Pelodiscus sinensis: one gene and its partners. The main gene of each other region encodes a partner of the protein of the gene in region 2 in a complex. Links are inferred from orthologs where the notes say so. Each region holds a gene or a part of one and is shown on either strand. Other genes may lie near its edges.

The links.
Region 1: CWC27 (region 2) and SNIP1 share a complex: the UniProt entries of both Homo sapiens proteins name them as parts of the minor spliceosome. The link is inferred for Pelodiscus sinensis from reciprocal best matches to the Homo sapiens genes CWC27 and SNIP1.
Region 3: CWC27 (region 2) and CRIPT share a complex: the UniProt entries of both Homo sapiens proteins name them as parts of the minor spliceosome. The link is inferred for Pelodiscus sinensis from reciprocal best matches to the Homo sapiens genes CWC27 and CRIPT.
Region 4: CWC27 (region 2) and GPKOW share a complex: the UniProt entries of both Homo sapiens proteins name them as parts of the minor spliceosome. The link is inferred for Pelodiscus sinensis from reciprocal best matches to the Homo sapiens genes CWC27 and GPKOW.

What each region holds. Positions count from the first base shown.
Region 1 is NC_134735.1:9,846,409-9,853,851, forward strand, and holds the start of SNIP1 (smad nuclear-interacting protein 1), read right to left. Parts: upstream 3,007-7,443; 5' UTR 2,890-3,006; coding exon 2,714-2,889; intron 2,107-2,713; coding exon 2,004-2,106; intron 1-2,003. Other genes in the region: DNALI1 (axonemal dynein light intermediate polypeptide 1), read left to right, coding at 3,459-3,539, 4,073-4,212, 5,265-5,434, 6,810-6,988, 7,384-7,443. UniProt on the Homo sapiens protein: Required for pre-mRNA splicing as component of the spliceosome. As a component of the minor spliceosome, involved in the splicing of U12-type introns in pre-mRNAs. Down-regulates NF-kappa-B signaling by competing with RELA for CREBBP/EP300 binding.
Region 2 is NC_134716.1:91,048,100-91,055,654, forward strand, and holds the start of CWC27 (spliceosome-associated protein CWC27 homolog), read right to left. Parts: upstream 3,009-7,555; 5' UTR 2,869-3,008; coding exon 2,827-2,868; intron 1-2,826. Other genes in the region: uncharacterized protein LOC102460411, read left to right, coding at 3,260-3,272, 6,609-6,656. UniProt on the Homo sapiens protein: As part of the spliceosome, plays a role in pre-mRNA splicing. Probable inactive PPIase with no peptidyl-prolyl cis-trans isomerase activity. As a component of the minor spliceosome, involved in the splicing of U12-type introns in pre-mRNAs.
Region 3 is NC_134713.1:164,111,311-164,119,191, forward strand, and holds the start of CRIPT (cysteine-rich PDZ-binding protein), read right to left. Parts: upstream 3,007-7,881; 5' UTR 2,813-3,006; coding exon 2,797-2,812; intron 1,211-2,796; coding exon 1,145-1,210; intron 1-1,144. Other genes in the region: PIGF (GPI ethanolamine phosphate transferase, stabilizing subunit), read left to right, coding at 4,339-4,566. UniProt on the Homo sapiens protein: As a component of the minor spliceosome, involved in the splicing of U12-type introns in pre-mRNAs. Involved in the cytoskeletal anchoring of DLG4 in excitatory synapses.
Region 4 is NW_027465877.1:101,207-108,893, reverse strand, and holds the start of GPKOW (G-patch domain and KOW motifs-containing protein), read right to left. Parts: upstream 3,007-7,687; 5' UTR 2,934-3,006; coding exon 2,788-2,933; intron 2,170-2,787; coding exon 2,021-2,169; intron 1,915-2,020; coding exon 1,775-1,914; intron 1,635-1,774; coding exon 1,528-1,634; intron 1,343-1,527; coding exon 1,150-1,342; intron 1,026-1,149; coding exon 893-1,025; intron 799-892; coding exon 666-798; intron 93-665; coding exon 1-92. Other genes in the region: membrane-associated guanylate kinase, WW and PDZ domain-containing protein 1-like, read left to right, coding at 6,599-6,663, 6,996-7,069, 7,238-7,687. UniProt on the Homo sapiens protein: RNA-binding protein involved in pre-mRNA splicing. As a component of the minor spliceosome, involved in the splicing of U12-type introns in pre-mRNAs.

The DNA of each region.
Region 1 (7,443 bases), on a different chromosome or scaffold from region 2:
TTCAGTTACTTTCTTTTAAAAAGCAAAGGTTCTTGGCTTACATATAATTTACTAGTGCTTGGCTTATTTTAAATTATATATTACCACTGATATTAGGGTAGAACCCTGAACTCCCCACTGAGGATTATGCTGGGTTCTGTACAGGCAGCAAAAATAACTGTTGGCCAGGAAAGTTTAAAATCTAAAAATTAAATTAAAATATTTGCTATGCTCTTAACAATTTGGTCATTTCCTTACATGGAAAAATACCATCTTAAACCAAGTTTCTAAACTACTGCTGATATTACAGACCAATGTTTAGAACAAATTTTCCTAATACAGGTTTGACCTCCTTGGTCCACACCCTCAGGCATCTGAGTGGTCCTGAACCAGAGAGTTTGCCAGACCAGGGGAGATCAAGGCTCCCCTCCCCACTGTCAGCTCCACTTCGGCCCTTCTACTGGGTGTCAGCCCTGGCTGTTAGGCTGTTTCCCACCATGCTGGCCCCAGTGCTGTCAGTCCCAGCTAGAGTTGCATTCCCAGCCACATTGGCCCTACTGCGGCTGGCCCTGGCCAGAACTGAGCTCCTGACCCTGGCTGGCCTCTTGCTTCCAGCCGCTGGGACTCTTTGGTCCAGCAATATCTGTGGTCTGGTCGAACCAAGATTGTTGATGAGGATTTTAGAGGTTCAATCTACACTCAAACCACTTTAATATGGCAACCCTAGGAAACAGGTTTTGCTGGATTAAAGATTTTGTCAGCTCAAGGAAAGAATGCGGAAGATGGGAGCAGGGTTGTTACCTGGCACTCCCATGGGAGCAACAGGAAAAAGCCTCCAGCAGAATGCATCCCTGTACTGCTGTTTCCCCTAGCTGGGAAGGAGGGGGTACAACAGAGCTATTTCTGCCTCCACCTGCCAGGGTCCATATCATATTATGGGTGTTGCTGAATTAGAAACACCCCGAGCACAGAAATTATAGTGTATTTTGGTTATTCAGTCTTCTGCATGTTTCAACACATGCATAAAATCTTACTATGTAGCTGAACTCAATAGCCACTGTTTTCTAGACATTCCATTATGGAACCCACTTTGTAAAAGGTTACTCTCACGGTTTCATCTCACTTCCCAACATCTTTGTTTGCACAATTTCACCAAGAAAGGTATCACGGCCTACATGCATGAGCAGGTCTCGACAAATCATGTAATCTACTCACCCCCAGTGAGTAGATTACAAGCTGGCACAGCCAGCACCATGAGATCTGCGCATCCGCAGCTCGCAGAACCTCGCGGCTGGCGAGCAGGGCTCACCGCCGCTTGGCGAGCCCTGTGCATGAGTAACACTGTTGTATAGTGTTCTTCAACACTCAAGTTGGGAAAATAATCCCCAACAATCACTCAATTTTATGATTTAGGACATGTCTACACTAGGGATGTTAACTAATGTTTATTTGTGTAAATGTGTAACCACTAGATTTCTTAGTGGTTACATGTTTACACACCTGTCTCTCTCTCTGCCTGCATACCAGCCGCTGTGGGAAGCAGCAGGGGTGAGGAGGGCAGGTGGATCCCCAGGCACCAGCTCCCACCTTCCCCCCTCTCTGCCTCTGATACAGAGGCAGAAAAGGGGTGTGTGCACAAGTGTAGTTGTCAGGATTAACTTGGTTATTTGTGGAAATGGCTACATACTAACATCCATAGTCTACAGTATAACTGGTGTGGAAAAAAATGCCATCCCCTTGAGTGACAGAACTTTTTCTGGCCTTAGTAGTGTGCACAGCACTCCGTTGGTGGAAGTTCCTAAATGTCCAAATTATAATAAACGATAAAAATAATCAAATAATAAAAAAATAGGGTAATCAAGTGATAAATTAGTCATACCATCCTATTTAGATCGCGTTCCCACGTTAATCTAAGCAGACAGACAACTGGTTTCAACAGATGCCCACTGATTTCAAGTCATGCCTCAGTCATATAGCATAATTTTCAGTGCTAGGACATTAGTGCTTAATATCCAGCAAATTACCTGTTTTACTTTGACTACAATATGATGAGGGCTTTTACTTCTTTTACTTCTTGGAGACTTGCCTCTTTTAGCAGATGACTTGTTCTTTCTTTTTGCTGGTGACCTTTAAATATTCAAAAAAAAAAATCATGTTTTGGGTCCACAACCCACTCTTGCCCCAAGGAAAAAAGGAAAGGAAAAGGCTTGTGCAAAACACACCTGACAATTTAACCTTAATCTGTAACTACTACTGTCCTGTATTGTATCATAGAAGGATGAGGTGGTGGGGAAGGGTCTCCCAGTTGCAGTGTTCCCTTTAAGCTGTGAGCTTGGGCTGCAGCACAGAGGATTCAAATACCACCCAGCTGATTGGCAGAGGGCCCACAGCTACCCACAATGTAGCAGTGCACATCTGCACACGCTCCGATGCACACAAAATGTTGTTCTACACACGGAAGGAAAAACAATTGGGCCATTGCCCCGCTCTATGTATCTGGGGGCGGTGGACACCAACCGGTCTGAAGGGAAGAAGTGGGGGAGGAGGAGGAAACGCTGGGAGAAACCTTTGAGCGGGAGTGGGGAATCTCCGAGGGGGGCCGGGGAAGGGGGGGCTCTCCCCCGCGCGCCCTGAGTCTCCCACACAGCGTCCAGCGGAGCCGCAAGGACCGCACGAGACAGCGAGCGAGGCTCTCCACTCCCGCCATAGCGGGTTGAGCGCAGGCGGCTGATACCTGCTGCGGCCTTGGGCTGCTTGATGCGGCCGGGCCGGGCCCTGCTTCCGCTCGGCAGGCGGGGACTGGCTACCCCGGGCGGAGCGGGAGCGCCGGGGGCTCCGCTTCTCCCCCCCGTCTTCCTGCTCCTGTCGCCGCCGCTTCCGCCGCCGTCGCTCGGGCTCGGCCTCCTCCATGGCTACCGCCGGGACCCCACGAGCCGGGCTGCGGCCGCACGTCCCCGGCAAGCGGAAAAGCGGCGGCTGCGCAAGGCCCTTCCGCTCACAAAGAGTAAGCGAGAAGCCTAGTACTTCCGCTTCCGGGGCATCTGTGCCCGGCGCCCCGGAAGCACTCGTGCCAGGCAGGCCTGAGGGGTGTGCGCGCGGGGGGGGGGGAAGCAGGTGACGTGGGAGGCCTCGCGTGAATAACCCGGGCGTTGTGGAAACCAACGCGCTGTGTGAGGTGGCCTTGGGCGCGCGGCGCCTTCCTCAGCCGATCTGGCTGCTCTCAGCCTTGGCTGGGCTGAGGGAGTGGCCCGGCCTCGCCAGCCCTGAGTTCGCTTTTTACACTCTACGCATGCGCAGCTGGACCCGTTTTCCTCGCCACAGCCGGCACGGCGCGTGCGCGGTCCACTTTTCTCGCAGCCTGGGTCGAGCGCTGGCGGGCGGGGGCGCCTCGTGACGACGTGACACGGCGGAACGCGGCCCCGTTGTTGCCATGGTGACGGTACACGGCTTGCGGGGAGAGAGCGAGCCACGGAGCCGCCATGATCCCCCCGGCGGACTCGCTGCTCCGCTACGAGACCCCGGTGCTGGTGAGCCGCAACCCGGAGAAGCGCTCCCCGAAGGTAAAGGGGCTGCCGGGGGGCGAGCGAGCTGGGAGGGCATCGGGCGGCTGGTTGATGGGGGTGCGTGGGGAGGGGGTGGGGTGCGGGGGGAGGGGGGAGGGGGTGGGGGGGTGCATGGGGAGGGGGGAGGGGGGGGGGTGCATGGGGAGGGGGTGGGGGGGTGCATGGGGAGGGGGGAGGGGTTGGGGTGCATAGGGAGGGGGTGGGGGTGCATGGGGAAGCGGTACACGGGGACAGGATTGAGCTGGTGTTATGTGGAGGGCGGAGAAGGATGAGCGGGGGGGGCAGGGGGGGCTGGAGGTGGGGGGCGGGTTGAACTGGGGGCTCATGGGGAAAGAGGGATTATGGGGGGGGCCGGGAGAAATTTAAGTGATGGAGCATGTGAGAGACCTAAACTGGGAAATCTAGGGGTTATTCTGTTGGAGAGGGAATTGCATGAGATGAGGGCATGGGGAGCCTGTGTGGTTTCCCCACGCACCCTGGCTGAAACATGTGCCGTGCCTTTATAGCCCTGGTATGTTTCTTGTTTGCAGGCGCGTCCTTTGAAAGTGAGTCCTCAGCAGCCAGTGTCAACTGGACCTGTGCCGCCTCCTCCAAAACCCAAGACTACTCCTACAGCTGTAGATCCAACAAAACAGGCAGAAGAAATCTTAAATGCAATCCTGCCACCAAGGCAAGAAACTGCTCTTGCACCCTTTCACCATGGTCCCAGGAGAAGTCATCAGTGTGAAATTTTAAGGTTGGGGGCAGGCAGTGAGGGGCTCTGAATGTTAGGAGTCAGGGCATGTCACTATAAGGTGGAGCCACACGGTAGTCATCGATCCATCACTAGTAAAGATTCACTATATTGACTGTTGATCACTCTCCTGTTGACTCCGGTACTCTAGCAGAACAAGATGAATAAGGGGAGTCAATGGGAGACTTTTGAGTTGACTCCCCACACTGTGGACCCTATGGTAAGTAGATCTAAACGTCAATTTGAGCTATGCTGCTAATGTAACTCAAATTGAGTAGTTTAGATTGACCTGTCCCTTGTAGTGTAGACCTGCCCTCAGTGACTGTCACAAAATAGCGTTGGGGAGAGATTGGGAGATGGATTTCTAGCTAAATAAAATATTTGTTCCCGTCAGTGCATGTGGCTCATCTAATAGTTGGTGCTGACTGATTAGTGGTAGTTACATAATATGTTTTCTAATTTCCTCAATACCTATGAGGTAGTGAGTGGCCTTGATTAATTATACATCCGTTTCAAAAGTAATATAATCTAGAAATGTTTTCTGCTGTTTCAGATTACTACATGCAGTATCAGCCACAAAACAGCAGTCCCTAAGCCTTTTTAAGTCTTGTGTCTTGCCTGATGCCCATGTAGCATGCCTGGATATCTGAACACTGCCATTCTGAACAGTTAGCTATGTTTACTGTTATCTAAGTATCCTGTAGTTAAAAGTTCTTTACTTGCTATGTAAAATGCTATCAAATTCCTCTGTTGTTGAAATACCAGTTCAGTAGGGGTAATGAAGGATGTAAAGTTAGCATTTGTTTAGGGATCAGGACATTCAACAGAATCTGTGCTGACTTGATCTCTCGATTCTACTGACAATGGAAGCAGGAGAACATGCTTGCATTGCATGCTTTTGTGTACAAAATATGGGATTCCTTCAGTTTGTGGTGGAAATGAGAGCTCAAGCATATGCTGATTTAGTCTGTGCTGCTTTTGTGATGCAGAGAATGGGTGGAAGACAACCAGTTATGGATTCAGCAGGTGTCCACCACTCCCAGTACCCGAATGGATGTAGTTCATCTGCAGGAAGAGCTGGATCTCAAATTACAGCAAAGGCAGGCTCGAGAAACTGGGATTTGTCCTGTCCGCAGGGAACTCTACTCACAATGCTTTGGTCAGTGAATACATCTAGGTCCAAGATACTATAGCAAAAGGCTTGTTTGAAGGATACTATAATACTAGAAGTTTCTGAATAGCTCAGGACATGGGGAATGGGAAGTGGAGACTTCTATCTAACGTGTATGGATTCTTGTCCACCTTGGTCAGGAAGGAATAAGAGTCGTTACTAGTGTTCTCACTAAGATTTTCCAACCATGAGCAGAGTGAATTTTGGCTTGTGCACCAATACTGAGGTCATGTGCGCTGGTTTGGATGTGTGCCACTATGGCACCCAAGTTATTAACACACATGTTCCCAGCCTTCAGAGCAGAAACCCGCCCCTCCCCCCGCCATGTAGCATATCGTATTCCCAGTTGCTGGCGCAGACAGCCCTCTCCCCATGCGGCAGGTCCTGTTCCTGGCCCCAGCTGCCAGGTCCCAGCCCTCTGCCCCAGTGGCTCCCTCACCATGTCATCTCAGCCGGCCCCACCCACAGGAGCAGCCACCTGCTGCGTGAGTGCTGCTGTGAAGCTCTCCAGAGGAGGGGGATGAGGGAAGAATTTTGTGTGCATGGCCACACAGGCGCACACCTTAGCAGGAACTATGGTCATTACCATCCCATGTCTGTCTGTCTGACCTATTGATTTCAGTTCATTTCTTGGTGCAGAGATCCACATCAGAATTAACATAAGAAGGCTACTTTATGAAGTCTCAGTAAAGAACCCTCAGTCAGAATGGACACACATTTTCCTCTTTTGGTTTTAATGAGTCCCCTACAGTGCAGGGCTGAGACAGACTGGCAGAAGGAAGTGCATGTGGGAAAGCTTTCATTGTTACTAAAAATATTGTATTAGCCCTCTTGCATCTCTCACCACCATATATAGATGAAGCATGGTTGCCACATGCGTATTTCCTCTTAATTTTAGCTTGTCTACAGAACAGTATATTTTTAAAAATGTCTATATACAAGCTGATGCCGAGAAGGTGTCACTGTGGCAACAGGGCATTGAATAGTAAGCTGGGGTTGCATATTTGCATGGGAGGGAAAAATTCATTCAACCACACTTAGTTCATGCTCTAATAATTAGATTGTCATGTTAAATAAATTAAATATCTTGGTTACACCTTGTTACTCTTCTTGCTGTCACAGACCAACCATGGAGACTGGAGGAAGAAACCAGCCACTGGGTCAGAGAGATATATTAATATAATTAATTTTTTATTCATTAGCCATAGGAAACTTCAGGTCTACACTACCTTGTCTTGAACACCACAAATGTCATGGCCATAATTACGTTGCCAAGCACACTGACCCATGTCAAAATGTTTGTCTTGAAACCCGTGTAAACGTTCTCTCTCTCTGTTTACTGTTACACTTTTTTTATTTAAAGATGAACTCATCCGTGAGGTTACAATTAACTGTGCAGAGCGGGGACTATTGCTGCTTCGAGTCAGAGATGAAATCCGAATGACCATCGCTGCTTATCAGACACTGTATGAAAGTAGTGTTGCCTTTGGTATGAGGAAGGCATTACAGGCTGAACAGGGCAAATCTGACATGGAAAAGAGAGTAAGTGAGGCTGTAAACTCATAGTGTACCTATGATCTGGCTCAAAAATGTGCTTCTCATCTTCCTCATCCTGGCTCATTGGGATTTTCTCACATTTATTAGAGCACTCTGACAATTTCTTTTGCAAACAAAATCAACAAACAAAACCTTCACTATTTTCTGATTTGATCAATAAACTGCTTCAAAATATTGTTTACCTTTTTAAAAAAGTTTTCTAGTTCCACTGGGTGGCAGTAAAGATCAAAACACATCTTGCTGATTTCCTGAGGCTGCTTTAATGGACAAATTGTCGATTATCATTTTTTTCTTCAAAGATAGTAAAATTTATATCTTATATTTTAATTGTATTTAAAAACATAACAATGACTACCAGGCATACCTATGTTCTTTATAAGATTCTAGAATTAGAAGATGAAAAGCGAGAGTTGGAAAGACAAGTCAATGAGCAGAAAGCT
Region 2 (7,555 bases):
GAAGTGGCCAGCAGGGCTGAGGCTCTGACATTTTGCCTGCCACCAGAAAAGGTAAGCAAGGCCCTCCTGCCAGGGAGACAGCCCCTGCCACCCTCACTCCCTCACCACAGATGCGGTAAGGGGGAGAGAAAGAGAGACCCTGCTGCACCCCCTGCTTCAGGAGGGATCAGGGGAAAGGGAGATAGCCCCCCAAATCCCGGGAAGGGCCAGGAGGGGAAGAAGAGAGCCCCCTGCCCTGGGTGGAACCAGGACGGGAGAGAGAGAGTCCCCCCATGACCTGGGCAGGGTCATAGGGGAAGAAAAGAGCCCCTGCCATCCCAGAAGGATCTAGGGGGAGGAAGACACCCTCCACTCCTGGCTGGGCCAGGAGGGAAGGAGCGAGCCCCTGCTTGCCCTGGGGACAAGCCAGCAGAGGGAGTTTGTAGTACCCGGTGCCCTGGGCTATCCACGAGGAGAAACCAGCAGCCACTCTGTCCTGAGCCCCCCTGTCCTGAGCCTGCCTCATCCACCCAATGCTCACTCTCACACACTCCCATGCCTCCAGCCTCATGCCCTGAGCTCCCCACATCCCCAAGGCCCTACCCTGACTCCTGGACCCCCACACTCCATGAGCCCTCTGCAATGAAGCACCTGGGCAATGCCAGATAAGTCTTCTAGTAGTAAAGAAAACAAAAAGCCTCCTCAATTCCTTCTTACCATCAGTGAGAGATGAAACTCCCCTATTCTCTTGTTTGCAAGTGAAGCAGCCTATTTACTCTTTCGTAGTCCTTTACAGTTGTTAACGTCAGTGAGTTAATAGTAGTTACAGTCCTTAGTTGTTTAGAGAGATTAAAATTCAGTTGAGAGATCTTCTCCTTCCCATGTACCTTTGGCACCAGGGCATGCCAAGGTCTCCAGGCTTCAAAGCCTCTGGATCCTGTGGTAAGTATATGCTCAGAAGCAACCCCCACACTTCATATATGAAGTGTTTAGGGCAGTGGTCACCAACCAGTAGATTGTATTATTTGTCGAGCCCTGGACATAAGCATCATGCATTCCCCTTGACCCACCCCACACTGATGTCAGTAAAGTTCCCCTAGTGATCTGCTTGCATAATCACAAAAAAGTAGTCCTTTCTGTTGCTGTACTCTATAGCAAGGTAAGCTGGTATCAAAATGGGGATTTGTCTAATGTATATCACAGCCTTGGAATCCCATTGCTACAAATCCATGTACTATGTCTTCCATATTACCAAGAGTTCCAAATTATTCTAAATTGCATACTGGGAACTTTACTCTTATCTCCCATAAATCACGGTGTGCATCATTTCTATCCCACCATAGGAGAAAACTTCCCTAAAGGTATTGTGCTAGACCAGGGTGGGCAATGAGTGGCTCACAGGCCAGACGCTGTTCACCACGGCAGGCCACTGATGCTTTATTTACCTGTGCAGCTGCAGGTACAGATGTTTGCAGCACTCATTGGCCACAAATTGCTGATCCTGGCCAACAGGAGCTGCAGGAAGTAGCGTGGACTGCGACACCACTTCTCGCAGCACCCATTGGTCAGGAACACTGATCGGGGGCCAATGGGAGCTGCAAATGGCCGTACCTGTGGACATGCAGGTAAATAAAGGGCTGGCGGCTTGCCCTGGGCTAACTGTGGTGAATTGCCACTGTCTTATTGCTCACCCTTTCACTATTCAGCGCTGGTTTGCAGGCTGGAATACCTACATGCAAGTCACCACACTTTGCATTGACCCAACTACTCTGCATGCATATGTTCAGTGCCAAGGCAAGCAATCAAGAATGCAAGCACAGGACTATATGCTCACACAGGCAATACGCTAAGCTAACTTGCACCTGCCAACAACTGTAACATAGTTGTAGGAGTGCTGGAACTACGGATGTGAATGGTTAACAGAGCAGCGTGCTGTGGGCAAGGGCGCTCCAGTCCAGCTGGAGCAACCTACACCCGCAGCCAGCCCAGCCTAACTGCTCCAATGTGTCCATGGTGAATGGGGCAGGAGGTGGCTCCAATACATCTGGTCTGGAGCTGCTCCCCCCACACCCGCCCCCATTTATGCGGTTGACTGGTTAAACATAATATTTATCTAGCTAGCTGACTGAATGGTATTTTACATTCCTAGATGGAACCACTTTATAGTGTGGGTGGCGATGATGGAAACCATGTACTTGTTGGTTATGGCTGCTTCAAGCCAGGAGGTGCAGCAGCTCTAGGGATGCAATAGTGTAGCCAATTAACCAATTAACTGGTAAGTAAAAGCTTACTGGTTAATGCTATATATTACACGCATTTCCCTCCTCCCCTGCCAGTAAATTTTTTAGCAGGCTGGCCAGAATCCTAGCTCACACCAAGTCCATGACCTACCCCCGCTGCAGCTCTGCATTTAAAGTGTATTAAGAGCTAGGCAGGCAGGCAAGCAAGCAGCCAAGCTCAGTTCTGCTTTGCACCAGGTCTGGGAACTCTGACCCCACCTAGACCAGAGGCAGCAGCCCAGGGCAGGCAGCTGGTCTCCGAGGGCAGCTGGTTTTTAACCCGGATTCCCTCATGGACCAGCTCCCACCTGGCACCCTGTGCTGCGGCCGCCTCTGTAGCCGAGGTAACGGCTCCTTGGGAGCGGGGCTGGAGTGCGCTGGCTGCCGGCCCCACCCCGGGGGACTATCAAATAGCCAGTAACAATAGGAATTGATGCGGTTTCTTGACTATTCAATTAACTGATACTGAACAGTCCCGCGGGCCCTTCTCGGCGCTGCCCGTCGGGCTCCCGCTCCCTTCGCCTTCCCCAGGGGCCTGGCGGCGGCTTCTGCTCCCCCCCCCCCGCACCTTGCCGTTGGTCGGAGGCTCCTGGATGTAGATGTTGCTCATGCTGGTGGCGGGGCGGGCACGGACCCGGCGACTCCGATTTCGCTCCTGGTCTGGCGCTGCTGAAACCCCGACTAGCTCTGCGAACCTCCCGCCATCTTGGACCCCGGGATTTGGCGCCGCGGCGCGGGGGGAGGCAGCAGGAGCGAGAGGCCAAACGCGGAGCCGCAGCACCCGCTCTGGGAAACGCCTCCGTCGTGCGCCCTAGGCCTGAGTTCCCCCAGCGACCCGCCTCCTCCATCCCCCGCACTGACACCGTGGTGTGATCCCGCCTCCCCTCCCCGCCTAATGGTACGGCCCGGTGTGCGCTGCCCAAAGCCCTCCGGCCGGGACGCTCGGGTGTCGGGCCTGCGTCCGGCTCTGCCCGGGGAGAGCGTGCGGGGCTCGTGGCTTCATGGCGCTGCCAGGTGAGGGCTCTGGCCCGGCGTGGGGGCAGCGGGCGGCCGAGGAGACCCTTGAGACGCTGGCGCGGGAGGCCGGGACGGGAGCCTGGGTGGTGAGGGCGTCCCATCGTCTCCGCTCGCCGAAACCTCCGGTGGCTCTTGGGGGGCCGGACCCGTCCTGGGAGGGTGCCCGTAGGTGAGACGAGCTCGGGGCAAAGGTCCAGGGGGAGACAACGCAGTGAAGCTTTGAAAAGAGCCGGGCAGCAAGTGGGGGCCGGTATCAGCCTAGAAAGGAAGTGGCCACGAGCCGAGTGAAGGAAGAAACCCAGGTTTCGCGGAGGGTCGGGTGGGGGGGGGGGGATAGTTATATACTGATAGCTAAGGCCAGAAGGGTTCATCATGATCAAGTCCTCTGGCATGACCTTTGCAGGCTACAGAATCCACCCACGCCTGTACGTTATTGAAGTCCTTGAATCATAATGTAAAGATGTCACATAACACTTGATTAGCCTCATTTACCCAAGTATCCTCTTTCTTAAGTTGTCCTTGGCTGTGTCTACACTGGGCCACTTATTCCGGAAAATCAGCTGCTTTTCTGGAATAAGCTGCGAGCTGTCTACACTGGCCCTTGAATTTCCGGAAAAGCAACGATGCTCTACTGTACAAAATCAGCCGCTATTCCGGAAAAACTATTCTGCTCCCGCTCGGGCATAAGTCCTTATTCTGGAACACTGTTCCGGAAAAGGGCCAGTGTAGACAGCCCAGTAGTCTTTTCCGGAAAAAAGCCCGGATTGCAAAAATGGCGATCGGAGCTCTTTTCCGGAAAAGCGCGTCTACATTGGCCACAGACGCTTTTCCGGAAAAAGGGCTTTTCCGGAAAAGCAGCCTGCCAATGTAGATGCTCCTTTTCCGGAAAAACTGAAAACGGAATAGTATTCCGTTTTAAGCATTTCTGGAAATTCATGCCAGTGTAGACACAGCCCTTGTGTATATCCCCCTGCCTTGGTAAATACCACTCCAATTTATTTGATGATGAGGATTTTACCTGTGGACGCTTATGTCCTAATAAATCTGTTAGGCTATTTCTACACTGCAGACTTCTTGTGTAAGAACTATTTTGTGCAAGAGTTCTTGCACGAGAGTGCGCCCACACTGCCTTGTGCTTTTGCACAAGAGCATCCATGGCAGTGTGGATGCTCTTTTGCACGAGAAAGCTCTGATGGCCATTTTAGCCATAGGGGTTTATTGTGCAAGAAACCCCTGTTGCCTGACCACACTGCCTTCTTGTACAAGAGCTCTTGCGTAATAGGGATTATTCCTTGTAGGGAGAGGAATAACTCTTGCACAAGAAGTTCTCTTTTCTGATGTTTTACTGTAAATTTACTTGTGCAAGAACACACGTGCAGTGTAGACATTTCACAAGTTTTTGTGCAAGAACAGCTGTTCTTGTGCAAAGAGTCTGCAGGGTAGATGTAGCCCCCATCTCTAAGGTGCCATAGGACTCATTGTTTTTGCAAACACAGACTAACATGGCTGCCCTTCTGAAAGAATTCATCAGTACATTAATATAACTCAACAAGTGATCTCTGTCCCATGCTGTCTGGTATGGAGGAGAGCTGCTTTCTGACCACAAATGCAGCAATCAGACCACTGAAACTTTTCTGCAGTTACAGAGTTACCCAATTACCTGCTTTTTAATATTCCTACTTGCTACTAGCAATTGTAAATGGGTCATACCCAATCTCTGCAGGGGGTGGATGGACAACAACAGAGCAGGGCAGTTTCCCCTGCTTTAAAAAGACAAAGTAAAGCTTCTCTCAGGAACTTACTCAGCAGCAGCCAACACACACACTCTGTCACTGTCACACACTCTCAGTCTGTGTCACAGTCTCTCTTTCTCTAGCCACGAACCCTTCCACCTGAAGCCCTGCCCCTTTTGGGATGCCTGAAACCAACCTGTGGCCAAGTACAAAAAGTACTTGGCACTAATTGTTTTAACATAGAATATCAGGATTATGGTGATAGGATACATGGTAGAAAAGTGACTTTAGGGATGTTGTAACACAGTTGTATTCTGTTTCCCTTTGCATTATGGCTCAATGCTTTTTCTTACCAAAATAAGTTAAAAAGTGAGAGAGGGACATGTTTTGGGCAGTGTTCCCTCTAAGCTGTGCAGGCAGCACAGTTTCACAGGTGATTAATCAGCCCCACCGAGCCAGGCTCAGGGCTCTGTGCATGGAGCTGACTGATTAATCATCACCTGTGAAGTTGTGCTGCCTGTGCATCTTAGAGGGAACACTGGTTGTGGGAACAGGTGATGCTCCTGATAGTAAGATGGCCTGTGAACAAGCACTAGATATGATTGTTATTCACCTTGGGGGAAATGATTTGGGGAACCTGTAAAGGGGTAGGCTCATTGTTCAGATCTAAGAGGGACTTGGGGCAGATCCTAGAACTTTCCCAGGAGTAAAAATTAATTGGTTGGACATGTTGTGACACAGGGTTTGGCAGGAAGCTGTGAAGCCTCCATGGGTTGACAAGAGTAGGAAGTATGAGAACAGAGAGGGGGCCAAAATCATAGATGGCATAAGGGAGTTGATGATTTCTCATCCTGCCATACTATATTGGACAATATAGGGTTCACCTGCAGATTTAGAAGTTGATATGTTTTTGGCTGATATTGAAGGCATCAATAGATTTCTGGGAACTGGGCTAGGTGTGAGGGAAGACAGTCAAGCTAATTGCTGGAGCCTCTGTCACAGATGTTCAGTACAGGTACTCCAATAGGGAATTGATAAAGTGATCCAATAAAATAAATTTAAACACAATTTAAAGAAGGTATTTAAAGGAATGGAGATGGGTGGTTAGAGACTGGTATGACTGGGAGTTAGCCCCCTCTTTTTGGAAGAGGATGAGATGTCCCAGCAGTGGGATTGCTAAGAACCAGAATGAGGAAGGGGCAGCGCTGTCCCCACATATATGCAAATGATTAGAGAATTATATGCACCATAAACTTTAATTTGCTGGGTACTCCGAGACATTTAAATCACATCCATTGTATCTTATCCTTCTGGCCTAGCCAGACAATAGACTAGCTAGTTACAGATTTTTTTAATAGACTGAAGGAGTGGGCTGTGCCCACGAAAGCTCATACCATCTACATGTTTTGTTTGTCTATAAAGTGCTAGCAGACCATTTGCTTGCTGGTTTTTTCTGTAACAGACTAACTCAGCTACCACCTGAAGCCACTGCAATATGCATATGCACTTTGACACCATGTTAAATCAAATATAAAGGATAAAAAGAAACAATTTTGTGTGTTACTAATTAGAACATAAACAGAAGTTTGTTTGTTTTCAGGTGGAAATAAGGATAACATAAGGGCAGGATGCAAGAAGTGTGGCTATCGTAAGTATGAAGGCAGTATAAAGATGTCCACCATTTTGCAGGGAGGCAGGGGAAGCCCCATGCAGCCACCTGCTACGGGCCAGCTGGGGCTGCAAGCAGTGACGGAGGAGAGGGGCTAGATGAGGGGCGGCACTGCGGGACCAACCCGGCAGCACCCCAGCTGCTCTGCCCCGCTGCTTCCGCCTCTTGCAAGCAGGTGGCAAACAGCGGTGGCAGACTTGGGGAAGCGGCGGAGCAGAGCAGCTGGGGTTCTGCCGGGTTGGTCCCGCAACGCCGCCAACCTGGCAGCACCCCAGTTGCTCTGCTCCGCCGCTTCCCCAAGTCTGCTGCTGCCACCGCTTGCAACCTCAGCTGGCCTGTCACCGGCGGCTGCGTGGGGCTTCCTCCGCCTCCTTGCAAAACGGCGGAGGGTTTGCCCCTCGTCGTGCCGTTCCCAGCTGAGCCCCCCCCCCCCCTCGCCTCTCCTGCTGGTCACAGTGCGGGTCCCAGCAGACCCGTCACAGCCCCCTGCTGGAGTACCTCCTGATACCCTGGCATATCCGATAATCCTGCACCTCCTGGGTCCCAAAGGTGCCGGATTATTGGAAGTCTACTGTAATAGACTATAAATAAAAAACAATCTTCAAAAAAAATTAAATACTTTTATTACATATGATATAATTTTAAATAATTATTCCCTTAATTATTTATGATCATTTTGTTGACATACCTTCCAAACCATTTTTCATTGATTTAGAAAAAGGTTACATGGTAAGAGAGGTTGTACGCTTTCTTCCAGCAGGTTCTGACACTGTTGGTTTACTTGCCAATGCCACTGAAGGCAATTATGTGTTGGTATAGGATTCATTTTTTGATATTCAGTGTTGTAAACTTTCTGGATACGAAAGAAATCAGTAAAG
Region 3 (7,881 bases), on a different chromosome or scaffold from region 2:
TTACTACCTCTGATACAGAGGCAGCAGCACAGGGTGGTAGATGAGAGATGGCACACATGGGGAGCCATCAGCCATCCCACATGTAACCACTGAAATTTTTAGGACTTTATGTGGTTACTAAGGGTGTGTCTAGACTACAGGGTTTTGTTGACAAAAGCGGACTTTTGTCAACAAAACTATACCTGCGTCTACACTGCCGCTGAGTTCTGTCGACATAATGTCGACAGAACTCACCAGTTTTGTCGACGGCTGTAAACCTCATTCTACGAGGAATAACGCCTTTTGTCGACAGAGTTCTGCATCTACACTGTCCTTTGCGTCTACACTGTCATGTTGACAAAGCGGCTTGCTTGTCAACAGAACTGGATGTAGTCTAGACGATCTTTGTCGACAGAAGCTTTGTCGACAGTATCTGTCGACAAAACTTCTGTCGACAAAAGTCTGTAGTCTAGATGTACCCTTAATTACACACATTTTAACATTCCTAACCAATACCGCATTGTTAACCTACTGTTTATCAGTTTGGTATTCCTAGTCCATTTAGCTGCTAAATATGTAGCAGTACAACAGAAAATAAAAAGTATCTAATATCTCAGAACGACCAAATAAAATAATGACCAGGATTATTAGCCTGATGGTGGGTGAAAATAAAATGTTGAGGATGAGTGGCCTAAAGCAAATGGGTGGAAAAATGAATATAGTGCACCCTGAATTTGGATAACAGGACCACCTAATCCACATTTCATTATTTCGTATTGTGATATAGTAGAAATACACACTGCTAGGGATGCGAAAGGTTAACCGGTGGGGGTTGGAGCAGCTCCCTGCCCACTGGGGGTAGGGGACTGCTCTGGCTGTGGTGACCTGCTTGTGGCAGAGGACTGAGGGAATGCCCCCACCCCCTTTAATCCATTAATTAGATACATGTAACATTTAATCAGTTAACCAATTAAATGGAATTTTACATCTCTACAAACTGCACTACAGAAGAGCAAAATAATTATAGTCCAATAGACTGAATTATCATAGGAAAGAATCTGAAGTGAAGGACAGAAATGGGGAAGCTGCTCATCTATTGGCATTGTTCTTTGCATAATAAAAGCTTAAAGTCTTCCTCAATTAAGTTAGTCTTTGAATGCAACACCTGTAGTATTTCTTGCTCCATCTTTCCATGTGTCAGGTGTAATCACAGTGCCAAGTTTCTTCTCACCTGTAACAGAACACACAGCAGGGGAAGAAAACTAGACTTAGTTTTCATTAAAGCCTCTAAGCAAATGGTTCTTATTAATACAAATGTTATTAAATATATATTTCTGGAATCAGTGCTTAGCAGCTCCACATGAGAAGCCAGGCTCTGCTTAGACCCTATAGATCCCCTGTGAAAGATGCTAGTTCATTGATAGAGGCAATGATACAGATGAGACAAGAGCAGGGGCAGCCAGGAAGCTGTGATGTGAATATTGACAGCTACCCCACACAAACCCAGGCAGTTTACCAATAGCTATGCCCATCTCAGTTATGACCGCCCAGCTGTGGGTGAGAGGGAGGAGAATGAGTGAGTGCACATGCACACACACGTGTGTGTGTGTGTGTGTGTGTAGATGAGACCCAGCCCGAACAGGGAGATACATCATGCCCCCATCCTGGCAGAGCTCCCTCTAAGCTAAACAGCTGCCTAAAAATCCTTTCACAAGGGTTCAGGGCTACTGTGCATGGAGTTGCCAGAGACTGGGGGAAGAGATGCAGGGGCAGCAGGCGGGAGCCTATACTTGATGGGAGCCAGCTTAAAAGCTGCCCTGTGTGTAACTGTGTAATTTTCAGCAGTTAGGCAGTTACACACACTTTAACATGCCTTCAGATCATCCCTGTGCAAAATGAATGTTATGTGCATCAATACGGAGGAGATGTGCTGCACATGAGCTCCATATTGGTGCACTCAGGAGAGATGTCAGACAGTGTTTAACTGACAAAAAGGCTAATGGCATATTAGGTTGCATTAAGAGGAACATTGCCAGCAGATCCAGAGATGTCATCATTCCCCTTTATTCGGCTTTGGTGAGGCTGCATCTGGAGTACTGTGTCCAGTTCTGGGCCCCCCCCCACTACAAAAAGGATGTGGATGCATTGGAGAGGGTCCAGTGGATGGCAACCAAAATGATTAGGGGGCTGGAGCATATGACTTATGAGGAGAGGCTGAGGGACTTGGGTCTGTTTAGTCTGCAGAAGCGAAGAGTGAGGGGGGATTTGATAGCAGCCTTCAACTTCCTAAAGGGAGGTTCCAAAGAAGATGGAGGGAGGCTGTTCTCAGTAGTGACAGATGGCAGAACAAGGGGCAATGGTCTCAAGTTGGGGTGGGAGAGGTCCAGGTTGGATATTAGGAAAAACTGTTTCACTAGGAGGGTGGTGAAGCACTGGAATGGGTTACCTAAGGAAGTAGTGGAGTCTCCATCCCTAGAGGTGTTTAAGTCTCGGCTTGACAGAGCCCTGGCCGGGTTGATTTAGTTGGGATTGATCCTGCCTAGAGCAAGGGCCGGACTTGACCTTCTGAGGTCTCTTCCAGCTCTATGGCTCTATGAATAATCATGGAACTTCAACCTCCCCCCTTGCGCAGATGGTAGGGGGCGGGGAAAGAGGATCCCCTGCCCCGCTGGGCACCCAGCTGCGGCGGGGGGAGGGGGGATGGTCTCGCGGCTCAGGCGGTGGGCGAGGACTCCAGGCACGCATCGGCTTGGCGGAGCCCAGGCGCGGGGCGCTGCCCGAAGTGGCGGGGAGGGACCGGCGCCCGCGAGGACTCACACTTCTCGCAGACCATGCTGAGCTGGAACCGCCGCCGGGCAGCCGCAGACCACCAACAGCTCGACAGACCAAAACAAACTGCCACTTCCGGACAGTCCCTTCCTCTTCCGGCCTCCGCGCTCGCCCGCCTCCCTATGGAGCCAACCTATGGGGCTGCTCAATGTACGTCCCCCGCAGCCTGACTGGTCGCCACCATCCGTCACTCTCATGCCTTGTGTCTTCTCCTTTGAGCAAGGCGCGCAGCGCCGCCTGCTACGCAGGGAGTTGAGCGCCGGGGCCCGAGAGCCGCGCGACCTCTGACCTCGTGTTCGGCGTAGTCCCGCCCACTGTCTGCTGACAGGGACTCGGGTAAGAGACAAACGGTCTGTGCTCTTCCTTCCCAGCAGGCTGCTGCCCGCCCCCCGCTGACTGTCTTCCTCCCCCCGCTTTCTGCTGCTCCCCCTCCCCTCCCGTGACGCGGCCCCACCTCGGGCTCCCCAGCATCCCATCCTGGGCAGCGCCCGCTGCCTTTCCTTGCTGTGGTGCGTTTTCCAGCCGAGCAGTCAAGCCTCTGCCCCTGCCAGTACTTGCTGGGCTTCTTCTCCTGTGGCATCGATGTCACAGGTCACAAGGGGGACGTGGGGCAGCATTCACCTCGCCACTCCCATCAGTGCCACTCTGGGTACCCAATGATCCTCCCAGCGAACCATTTGGTGATGCAGCCTGGTTCGGGCCATCGGAGGGTATGTCTACACTGCAGCGTTTTTCCAGAAAAAATGGCCATTTTTCTGGAAAAACAATACTTACGTCCACACTGCTTTTACTTTCTTTCGACAGAAAGCTGAAAGAACAGAGGGGCTTTTCTGACAGTGGTAAACCTCTTTCTATGAGGCAGAAGCTTTTTTCCAAAAAAGCTTTTCCAGAAAAATGCATGTGTAGACGTAGAAGAGGGAGTTCTTTTGAAAGAAAAGGCTTCCAGGAAATAACACAGGTGCCCTGGTGGCCACTCCGTCCATATTAATCACAACTTAAATGCAAGATAGCATCCAATTAATGTGGGTGCTATGTTTTGAAAAAGCACATTACTTTTTCATTGTGCTTTTGCTGTGTGGATGCACTCTTTCAAAATAAGCTTTTCCAGAAGATCTCTTCTGGAAAAACTTCCAAAAGAAGCTTGCAGTCTAGACATAGACTGAGGCATGTTGCACAAAGGTCAAACCTTTTTCCTCCTCTGCAAATTGCCTGATGGCACAAAGCCTGTGGTATAGGCTGTGTCTGCCTGAGAATGTAAACATCAGCAAAGCCAGTGAATCAGATGTTTTAGCAGAAAACATCACAATTCACTGCCAATCACAAAATGCAGTACAATATCTGAAAAAAAAAAAATTGGAATGAAACATCATGGTTGCTCCTAGGTTTTCTGTTTTAAAGTAGCACACAATTTATCTTTTTCAACGTTTTTTTTTTTTTTTTTAAGTTTACCCTCCCTCTTAAATTTTTCAGAAATTAACTACAGGAATGTCATTTGCTTTATTGTAGGTGCACTATTCAAGATAAAACACCATGAAAGATACAGAAATAAAGAGACTGCTGTTTGCCCACATCATTTGTGTATTTTCCATTATCTTAACAACTATTGTTCCACCTCTCTTTTTGGAGAACTTCTCAGTTTTGGGAACACACCTTATCTGGCTGTGCATCTGTTCTATATGTGTAACTACTGTAAATATAATATTGTATATAATACTTAAACCAAATCCGTCTTCTAAGAGAATTTCACTTGCTCACAAGGTAAGAATTTGTATAATTAACTTAATGCTAATAGCTTTGAGGAAGGGTTGACTATCTTTTTCCTGAAGAAGTCAACTAGGAAAGTAAAAGGACAAAGTACAGTCAAATGCATGGTTGTCAAATCTTCACCTTTGTAAATGAGTGGAGTAAGTGTGTATTACCTTTTGAAATGAGTTTTCCAGTATTTTTATCAGTGTTAAAACTTTCTTTTCCATTGAAGTTTTTCAGAGGGGAGCATTACTGGACCACATTCTTCTCCCAGAGCCAGGGAAAGGATCTAACAGTCCTGATGCTGCCAATTCCACTCCAACTGGTCTCTTTCTACCTTTGACATTTCCAGCAAACCCAGGAGTGCTGGTTGTATTATATCTTTAGTGTCTTTTCAAGAGCTGGTGGCTTATAGCCTAAAACCATCATCCTCCAATTCAGTGATGAGCAAACTATGCTAGTGAGCAGACAGTATGAGTGGCTCTCTTTCATTTACATGGGCTGCAAAATTGTCGTAATCAAGACTGTCATTCCTGGGATAGGGTAGCTTTGCTAGCTGTTCTTGTGTGCATAAAACTTTTGGGTTACGCTAATTGAACCATAGCAGTATTTTGGCTGTGGAGGGAGTGCATGATTCTCATAGTCAGTGTTGTGTTCAGTCAGCAGTCAGCGCACACATCATTTCACATACCCTTTGCTTTACTTCTCATTTAGTAATACCAATAGGAAAAGCTATGCAGATGGAAACCAGAGTGTGGCAACACTGCACCTGGGTAACAGTAAACAAAATGTCTTGTGGGTCACACATAGAACCTTAATGGATGTATGCAGGTCATGGGATGCCCACCATTACTCTGATAAGCTCCACGCTCGCAGAAATCAGTGAGACTCTGAATGCAGAAGTCTACGTGCACACATGTCACTGCAAGATCATGCCTAAGCCAGCATTATGTTCAAAAGTTTGGTCTCCTCTGCAGTTAACACATGTTAATACATAGAAGTAATTCAAGGAAAAACTGTAAACCCATGGAAATTTAAATGCAGGTAAAGCACAATAAAATTAATTGAGAAAGGTTAGTTAAGATTTTTTTGAACAACAAAGCCATCCCCCCATAGACACTTCAGTTTTATAGAAGACACTATAATATTACATTTTGCTGATGGAGTATTGGGAACATGAAACTCATAAAATGAATACTACCATAGGAGTTTAGACCAATACTCAGAGAGTTCAGAATGGGGAAACACAAAGGCAGGTTGTCACCAACTTTCTTCTGCACCTGATTTGCTGAGTTGAGGGGATAGACCACTATTACTAAGAACTAATGATCAAATAGCTTGACAAGCCAAATATATTGAGTAGTTTTTCACATATAGTGTGTGGTTTGACATTGATTTATTTGATAAGGGGGAAAAATAAAATCCCCTTTATAAAGTTTGTGACGTGGGGGAAAAAATACCTAAAAAAACTCAGATGATGCTTGAAACTTAACTAATGTTTGAAGTTTTCTTTGTGACTTGTTTTAGATAGAAACACTCAACTTTGGTTGGTGCTTCTTTAATTAAAACTGCTCATAAAATTTCTATAATACAAAAGAAAAACAGGTAACAATTGAGTACCATCTACATTTATAGAATATTGTGTATTTAAAAATGTATATAACAGGATTCTAGAAAGTTAGATACATGAGCAGCATTGTCATCTTGAAATCTAGTCAGTTTTAAAATGTAGTTGATGGAGTCAAATATAGCTTTATATACTATGATGTCCGAGTGCTAGTTTTTGTTGTATTACTATCACATTTCCCTGTTAAAAAATATTTTTAATTCCCCATTGTACTTTGTCAAATACATTCCAAAAAAAGCATTATGCAACATCAGGCATTTTCAAAGGTGAACAGGAACAAACTGAGGAACATTTTTCTCTTATCCTCAGTTAGAGGTATCATAGTTGTTACTTGTAATATTACCACAGTAAGTAAAACATATTTTCATACTGAAGTAGAATTTTATTTTTTAAATTGATATAGCTTTAAAATACTAAACACAGAAAAGCTTGCATAATAATCAGTTTCAACCATAGTCCAATGTAATAACTTCAGAAAAAGGCGAATGTAGTGCCCATCTTTTAAAAATGGAAGGAGGAGAATCTGGGGCTAGCCACAATTCAGTACCTGGAATAATCAGGGAGGAGATCCTCAAGGAATCCATTTTGAAGCACTTGGAACAGAGGAAAGTGACTAGGAACAATAAACATGGATTCAGCAAAGGCAAGTCATGCCTAGCTAAATTGATTGCTCTCTATGATGAGGTAACTGGCTCTGTGGATATGAGGAAGGTGGTAGACATGATAAACCTTGACTTTAGCAAAGCTTTTAATATGGTCTCCCACAGTATTTTTGCCAGCAAGTTAAAGATTTATGGATTGGATAAGTGTAAGGTGAATAGAAAGCCGGCTAGATCGTTGGACTCAATGTTTAGTGATCAACAGCTCAGTGGGCCGTTGGTATCAAGTGATGTGCTCCAAGGGTCAGTTCTGAGGCTGGCTTTGTTCAACATGTTCATTAATGACCTAGATTAGGGAATGGATTGCACCCTCAGCAAGTTCCCAGATGACACTAAGGCTATGTCTAGACTGCAAGCCTCTTTCGAAAGAGGCTCTTTCGAAAGATACTTTCGAAAGAGCCTCTTTCGAAAGAGAGCGTCTAGACTGCATGCGGAACTTTCGAAAAAGCAAGCCGCTTTTTCGAAAGAAAGCATCCAATGAGTCTGGATGCTCTCTTTCTAAAAAGCCTGTTTGCTTTCAAGAACGCCTTCTTTCGAAAGAGCACTTTCGAAAGAAGGCGTTCTTCCTCGTGGAATTAGGTTTACCACTGTCGAAAGAAAAGCCGCATTCTTTCAATTTAATTTCGAAAGAACGCGGCTGCAGTCTAGACGCAGGTGAAGTTTTTTCGAAAAAAGGCTACTTTTTTCGAAAAACCCCCTGAGTCTGGACACAGCCTAAGATAGGGGGTGAGGTAGATATGCTGGAGGGTAGGGATAAGGTCCAGCATGACTTAGACAAATTGGAGGATTGGGCCAAAAGAAGTCTGATGAGGTTCAACAAGGACAAGAGCAGAGTCCTGCACTTGGACAGAAGAATCCCAAGCACTGCTACAGGCTGGGCTTGGTTGGCTAAGCAGCAGTTTGGCAGAAAAAGACCTGGGGATTACAGTGGATGAGAAGTTGGATATAAGTCAACAGTGTGCCCTTGTAGCCAAGAAGGCTACTGGCACATTAGGTTCCATTAATAGGAGCATTTCCAGCAGAACTAGGGAAGTGATTATT
Region 4 (7,687 bases), on a different chromosome or scaffold from region 2:
CGAAGCGAACCCGCAGGTCTCGCCGCAGCCAGTGGGGGGTGCGGGAGGACGATAAGCTGCTGCCTTTGCTCTGCTTCCCAGCCTGGGGGGCGCTGAGGAGAACAGGCAGTCAGGAGCAGTGCTGGGGGGGGCACCGTGCTGCGAGAAGCGGGGGGGGGGGGGGGGGGCTGGGGGCACCGTGCTTGGCGAAGGGGCACAGTGTTTCATCAAAGGCACTTGAGTTGCACTGGCACCAGGGTGTCCGGGCCACACGCCAGCTTGGGGAATCCTCCTCTGGGCCGTGAGACAGCACCCACCTCAGAGGTGGCCGCATTCCATGTGGCTGTTCCCCACCTGCCCTGCCCCAGAGGCGGCTGCATCTCGGCACCAAGCAAGCCGTGCCCAGGCAGTGTTCTACGTGGCTGTTCCCCACCTGCCCTGCCCCAGAGGCGGCTGCATCTCGGCACCAAGCAAGCCGTGCCCAGGCAGTGTTCTATGTGGCTGTTCCCCACCTGCCCTGCCCCAGAGGCGGCTGCATCTCGGCACCAAGCAAGCCGTGCCCAGGCAGTGTTCTATGTGGCTGTTCCCCACCTGCCCTGCCCCAGAGGTGGCTGCATCTCGGCACCAAGCAAGCCGTGCCCAGGCAGCATTATCCGTGGCTGTTCCCCACCGTCCCAGGTCTCTACCTCTCCGAGGCTGCCTGTTTCCGTTTTCTGTCCTTCTTTTCCCCTGTGTCCTGGGGGACCGTGGTGGCCAGAGCCTCAGTAGGCTCATTTCTCTGCTTTTCCTCTTTTTCCTTCTGGGCTTGGCTTAAGCGGCCTGTGAAGGGGATTGGAGAGAAAAGGGGAGTGAGGAGGGGACGGGGGAGGCGGGCGGCGGGGGGGGTGTGGCTGGGAGCAGTCATGTGACTCACTCAGATCCTTGGCTAGCTTCTCGTACTCCTTCTGGGTCACGGGCCGCAGGACGTGCTGACTGATGGTGACCGTTTTATCCCCGATGGCCAGTTTCACCATCACCCGGGCGTTATCGGGGTCTACGCCCTCGATCTGGGGACAGGGAGAGAAAAGAGAACGAGGGGTGAGCCTTCTGCTTCCAGGGGGCATCGGCTCCCACCCGGCCCCAGGGCAGGGACAGGCTGGCTCGGGGGCCAAGGAATGGGGGGGCACTCACCTTCCCATAGAGGTCTCTGTGGGGCCCAGCCATGATCAGCACAGCGCCCCCTGCCACCAGCCCCAGCGGCTCCTCCTCGCCCGGCTTGGGGGGCTGAGGGCGGCCAGCCGGCTGCAGGTCCTGGATGGCCGAGCGGTCAGCTCCCAGCCCCAGCCCCTTGGGGCGCAGCTGGCACTCCAGCGGCTTCACGTCCCTAAAGGGGGGAAGGGTTATTTGGGGACCCGCCTCTGAAAGCATATCACCCCCCCAGCTGCTGAGCTAGGACTCCTTCCCCCATCACCCTCCTCCAACCTACCAGCCCCTACAGTAACCTGGTCCACAGCCTTTCCAAAATCTCCCTGCCCCGCCCCCCATCCCTCTGCCCCCCAGGTCACTCACTGCTTGAAGGTGCGTCCGATGCCCTCGCCCGCTTTCCAGCCCATGCCCCGCAGCATGGCAACGCCATAGGCCTCCACCGGCACCACCTCATAATCCGCCTCCGTCGACTGCAGGGCAAGAAGGGCAGGAGAGTCGTTAACCTGCGGAACCACCCGCCACAGGCATTGGGACACGTAGCTCGGAGCCGCAAGAGGGGGCTGGCGCTGGGGCTCCAGGGGAAGCCGTGGGCTCGTCGGAGGGCTCTTACCGATTCCGGCCGCAGGCTCACGTCCACCCGGTCCCCATCCTCGTACCCCTCGGGGACGCGGTTCTGCATGAGCAGGGGGATGGCCAGCTTGGGGTCGGCCTTGGAGCCACTCTCCCACCGCTCCTGGGACTGCCGGCTCTCTGCAAAGCACAGGCACCGTCAGGAGCCGGACGCCGGGGTCCCCGCTCAGGGGGCGGGAACTAGTGTGTGCGGGGGGGGGACTCCTGGGGTCCCTGCCTCGCTCACCCTCGATCAGCTCCCTCACGGCCTGGGACTCCACCCCATCATCGGCCGGCGGGTCTGGGGCCCCCACGGGGGGCGTCGCCGGCTTCTTCCATTGGTTGCGCTGGATCAGGGGGATGACGAGCGGCTTGGAGGGCGGGACTGGCCGGAGGCTGAGAGCCAGAGAGAAACCATCCCGTTGCCGTGGGATACCCAGAGTGCACCACTCCCATTCCCCCCCCCTCCGCTACCCTGGCTCCGCCCACTGCCCCATCCCAAGGGCCTGCCCCACAGAGGCCCCACCCACTACCCTGAGCCTCTTCCTTCTCACCCACTGGATACAGACCCTGCCTCACACCAATCACCCATGGCCCCTCCCCAGGACACGCCCCCTCCAGCCCATATAGCCCCTCCCCGGACACGCCCCCTCCAACCCATGTAGCCCCTCCCCCGGACACGCCCCCTCCAGCCCATATAGCCCCTCCCCGGACACGCCCCCTCCAACCCATGTAGCCCCTCCCCCGGACACGCCCCCTCCAGCCCATATAGCCCCTCCCCCGGACACGCCCCCTCCAGCCCTATAGTCCCTCCCCCGGACACGCCCCCTCCAGCCCTATAGTCCCTCCCCCGGACACGCCCCCTCCAGCCCTATAGTCCCTCCCCCAGACACGCCCTCTCCAGCCCACATGGCCCCTCCCCCAGGCACCTGGTCGATCTTGCTCACGTGCGCAGGCCGAGCAGCCCCGCCCCCCCGGGGGGCGCTGACTCCCGCGCATGCGCACTGCTCTCACCTGCGCAGCTCGCTCCCCTCCACGGCGCTGATGAAATCGGGCTCCGGGTCGGCCCCGCCCTCCCCCGCGAGCCGCCTGCGCGCGACCGTGCGCGTGAATCCGAACGAGACCGGCCGCGGGGCCGGGGGGCCGCCGTCCGACGCCATCTTGCCGCCGCGCGCCGCGCAAGGCTTCACGGGAGTTGTAGTCACCGCCGCGCGCAAGGCCTCGCGGGAGCTGTAGTTCCAAGCTGGCCCGCCGGGCCTCATGGGGGTTATAGACCCGCCCCCACGCGTAGCATCATGGGGGATGTAGTGCGGGGCGGGGCTGCCCCCCCCACTCCCCTCCCCCACCCTCTGCCCCCACCCCGAGATCCCCCCACCGGGGAATTTTCTGCGTCCTTAAAACCCCCAAATCGTCTGGTTGCTGCCGCAGGGGAGCAGCCCCCCAGGCCCAGCAGCTGCCGTGACGTTCGGACGGGGGGGGTCGCTCCGTGCAGCGAGCATCTCTAAACGCAGCGCACAGCCAACCTGGGGAACTCCCTGCCGCAGGAGGGGTCACAAAGAGCTGGAGACATCCGGGCAGGGTGGGTCCATGGATGGCTGCAGGCCAGGCCGGGCGGGAGGGTGCCCCTGGCCTGTTTCTCCAAGGCTGGGAACAGGGGCTGCAGGGGAGGGATCACGGGACGGTTCCCAGTTGTGAGCCCTCCCTCTGGGGCCCCTGGCGCTGGCCGCTGTCGGCCGACAGGACACTGGGCTGGAGGGACCTTTGCTCTGACCCCGTCTGGCCGGTCTCCTGTTGATATTTGGGGGGGTCCTGAATCAGCCCCCTCCTCTTGGGGGTGGGAGATTAGTGACTCCTGGCACCCTGTGACCCCATGCCAGCTCCAGTGACTTTCAAGCTTGATGCTGAACAGATGTGCTTTGGTTAAGGCCTCTAACCCCCTCCCCCGAGCTAGGGAGAGAACCCAGGAGTCCTGGTTCCCAGCCCACCCTGCTCCTTAGCCCTGTACCTTGTGTGGCCTGGGGAAGAGCCGGGTTTCTACCAGGCCTCGCTTTAGGGGCTGGCGAATGAACGCCTCCCCCATGCCCATGCACTCTCCTTAACGAAGGCTGTATCGAGAAATGACTCTGCTTATTCATTACTAGCCGCCCCGGGGCTGGATTGGAACCGGCACCCCCTGGAGGGGTCAGGCCCCGTGTTCCATATCCCAGGGGGAGATTAGCCACTGTGGTCTCCGATTGGCTGGCTCGTCTGTCCATCTTCCCCTTCTCCCCCTCCCCCAGAGTCTAGCGAAGGAGGAGGAGGTGGAGGGTTACCGGGGCATCAATCCCGTTGCCTTGGAGATCCCCGTTGCTAACCCCAGCAGCATCGGGTACCACTACGGAAGGGGGGGGCCGGAGCAGCGCTAGATGCCGGGGCCACCCCAAGGTAAGGGAGCCCCCCCCAGCCAGCAGAGACGGGGCGGGATCAGCTGTTAATTGGATTGTGCTGGCTGCCGGAGCCGGGGGATGGCGTGGGGAGGGGGGGCGTCCTGAGGGCCTAGGAGGGGAGATCAGCGCTGGCGAGGGGCGGGTGGGGAGCCTAGAGGTTGATTTTGTGATGGACAAGGGGCTGGGGGAGGAACCCGACAGCTCTGGGGGTGGCCTTGGGACAGGCTGGAAGGGGCAGCGGCACGTTCAGCTCCTCCTGGGAGGGCTCTGGCGTGTGGGAAGTAAAGCCCCCTCCCCCCACCAGCTACTCCCCCTCCCCGCTCATGTGACCTTGAGGAGCGACACAGGCACAGGGCGGGCCGGGCCTGGCCCCTCCCGATCTCACCATTCCCTGGGTGCCAGAGTCCCCCAAAAGCCCCATTTCCCAGCTGTGCCAGCCAGGCTTTCCTGCGGGGGGCGGGGGGAGGGCGGATGGTTGCGGGGGGGAGGGGGAGGCTCTCATCTTGCTCGGCCCCTCGGTCGCTTTGGGTCCAACAAACCTGGTTCTCCCTTCCCCCATCCAGGCAGTGAGATGACACCCCTACCCCATGCCTCCTGCGGCGGCCGGGGAGCGGACGGACACCTCTTCCCCGGGTGAAGCCCAGAGGGAAACTGAGGCACGCGGCAATGGAGCCAAGCGATGACGGCCACGGTCCTCTCCCTCCCGGCCCCTTTTGCTGGCCTGCTCGCCACACACCCATGGGAGAGGGGGGGAACCGACCTTTTCCCGGCCTCACGTGTTCCTCAAAATATGCCATGTTGCTTGCGGACTAGAAACAGAGGGCAGGTGCACCCCAGTTCCCCTCCTCCCCCCAGCAGCAACTGGGTAACGTCACCGGCCTCGCAGAGCCTGGGAGGCACCCCCCCCACATCACCCCACCCCTACCTGGAAGAGTCCAAGGCGGTGACATTTCTAGATTACCCCCCAGCACAATGGGTTCTAGATCACCCAGGTGCCCGTTGGGTTCTTGAGGGAGGGAGGCTTTTCTAGATACCCAGCGGCTCCTAGAACAGGGCTTTTCCCAGATCCCTAGTGGCTTCTGGAATACCAATGGCTTTTCTAGAGCCCCCCCCCTTGCAGGTTCTTGAGTGGCAGAGGCCTTTCCAAACCCTCCATGGGCTCTAGAATGGCCGAGAGCATCCCAGGTCTCCAGTGGGGCCTAGATCAAAGGAATTTGCTGAGATCCCTGGTGGGTTCTAGAGCAGCAGAGGTTTTTCTGGATCCCACCTGGGTTCTTGAACAATAGAGTTCCTTCCAGATTCCCTCTGAGACCGTTTTCCTGGCCCCTGGCCCTTCCTCTCGCTCCAGAAGCTGCAGCCGTCCCTTCATGACTCAGTTGGCCCCCCGCCTGGTTGCCCCAGGGGTTCCCCTTCTGCGGCGGGGGAGTTTGTGCATCTGTCAGCCTCTCTTCTGCCTGTTGCCCTGCCCATAGCAGTACCCCCTGCCACGGTGGGTCTGTCCCCCACATCTCCCCACCTTACTGCTCCCTCCCCGGACCCGTTCCTGCCAGGCTCCTTCTCCCTCCCCTCGGGCAAGGGGGCTACCCCCACTTCCTGCTTTCGCAGAACCTGCCCCCTGCCCCGGGTCCATCACAGCCGAGCCTCCTAATCAGCCCCCCAGTTGGCTGATGGAGTTCATCCAGCGCTCCCGGGGCCAGTGTGGGGAGGATGGCCAGTCACCAGGGGCGCTGGGGCCCAGAGCCATGTCCTAGACCCCCAGCGCGATGGAGACCAGCCCTGGCTCCCCAAGGGGTTCTAGAGAGACCTGGGCAGCGCCAGATCTCAGTCACTGCCTGCGCCCCCGGAGCGAGCTCTCCTGTAGGTTCCAGAGTGGGTGGGCGGGCGAGATCCCTTCTAGAGCCCAGCGAGTTCTGGAGCCAAGGGAGCCAGCCCTCGGGCCCACAGCTGGGCTGATCCAAGAGAGGGGGTGGGAGCCCGGGCAGAGGGAGGAGTGATTCCCCCCAGGCCGGTGTTGTGGGGCACGGCCGCCCTCCGGGCCCCAAGTGCCTCTCCGCCACCCTCGTGACTCTAGGCAGGCAGGAGAGAAGAGGCGCACGTGGGGCGGAGGGGCCGGGCAGGGGGCTTTGGTGGGCAGTCAGGCCTGGGCACTGGGGTCCCATGCTTGGGGGGCAGAGCAGGGCCGGGCAGGGCGCTGGGCAGTGCCATGCTGCAGGCCGGTTCCATGTGGCTGTTACCTTCCTGCCCCACCCCAGACATGGCTGCATCGGGGGAGGTTTGAACTCTCCTGTTCTCTCCCCTCACAGGGCTGAGGCAGGCCGCACTCAGGGGTCTCGGGATCCACTCCTCAGCAAGCAGAACCCCCCACTTGGGGTCCCAGGGGCGAGGCCCCCGGCTGCACCATGGGCGGGGCTGGGCCCCAACTCCAGCACTGGGGGGCGGAGCAAAGCGAAGCCTGTGGCATCAGGTGACTCCCCCCCCCTTGGATTGGAGGGACTGGCACTTCTGGGGGGCTGAGGAGGTGGGATGCTCAGGGATGAGCTGGGGCTAAGGGGCTGCCTTTGGTTGGGGAGGTACCGGGGAGCAATTGGGGGGATCCAGGAGGTGGGGGCTCTGGGGGAAAGGGGGAGACTATGGGGGGGAGGGGAAGTATCCTAGGAGGAGAGCCTAGGGGGGAGGGGGATATAGGGGAGAGATCCCAGGGGAAGGGGGGAACATGGGGGATCCTAGGGGGGAGAAAGCTGCCCGAGAAAGGGACCTCCCCCCAAATATGCACCCCGCCTATTCTCCGTCCCCCAGCTGCAGTGCCCACCAGAGCCCCCACAGGGCCCCTGAACCCCTGATCCCGGCAGCAGTGGCACCGGCGGCTGGAGGTAAGCGGGGGGCACTGGGGGCACCCCCCTCCCCACCCCCTGCCAACCGGAGGGCTCTGCCACCTGCCCTGGGTGCCCGGGAGGTGCTGGGGGCGCCACGCTCGGCCCTGCCGCCCCTGCCCCGGGCACTGGGGGGGCCCCCTTAACTCTGCCCTCTGTGCCCCGCAGTGAACGTGGTGGTGGTGGTGGACGGGAGCTGCATCCTGCACTACACCCACCGGGACGCCCCCTGCCGCTGCTCCTGCCGGCTTCCTGCCTCGCCCAGCCCCCCCCTCGCCCGCCGCCCCCGGGGCCTGGGGGTGCGCTGCTGTGCAGAGCTCTGCCTAGGGGAGGAGGAGGAGCGGGCGGAGCAGAGGCCCCGCCCTGCCCCACCGCCCGGCCGGCTGACGCCAGTGCCCCTGCCCCGCAGCGCCACGGGGCCCTGGTTCACGGTGGAGGCGCCCGAGGAGGGGGGGCCTGGGGCCCAGGTGGCCAGGATCTGGGACCGGGGGCGCTGCCCCCTGCTGGAGGAGGGCGACCTCGTGGCCAAGGTGAATGGGGCCGACGTGAGGGGCCTCGGGCCCCGGGAAGTGGAGAACGTCCTGCAGCAGCACACGCGGGCAGGGGACGTCATCCTGC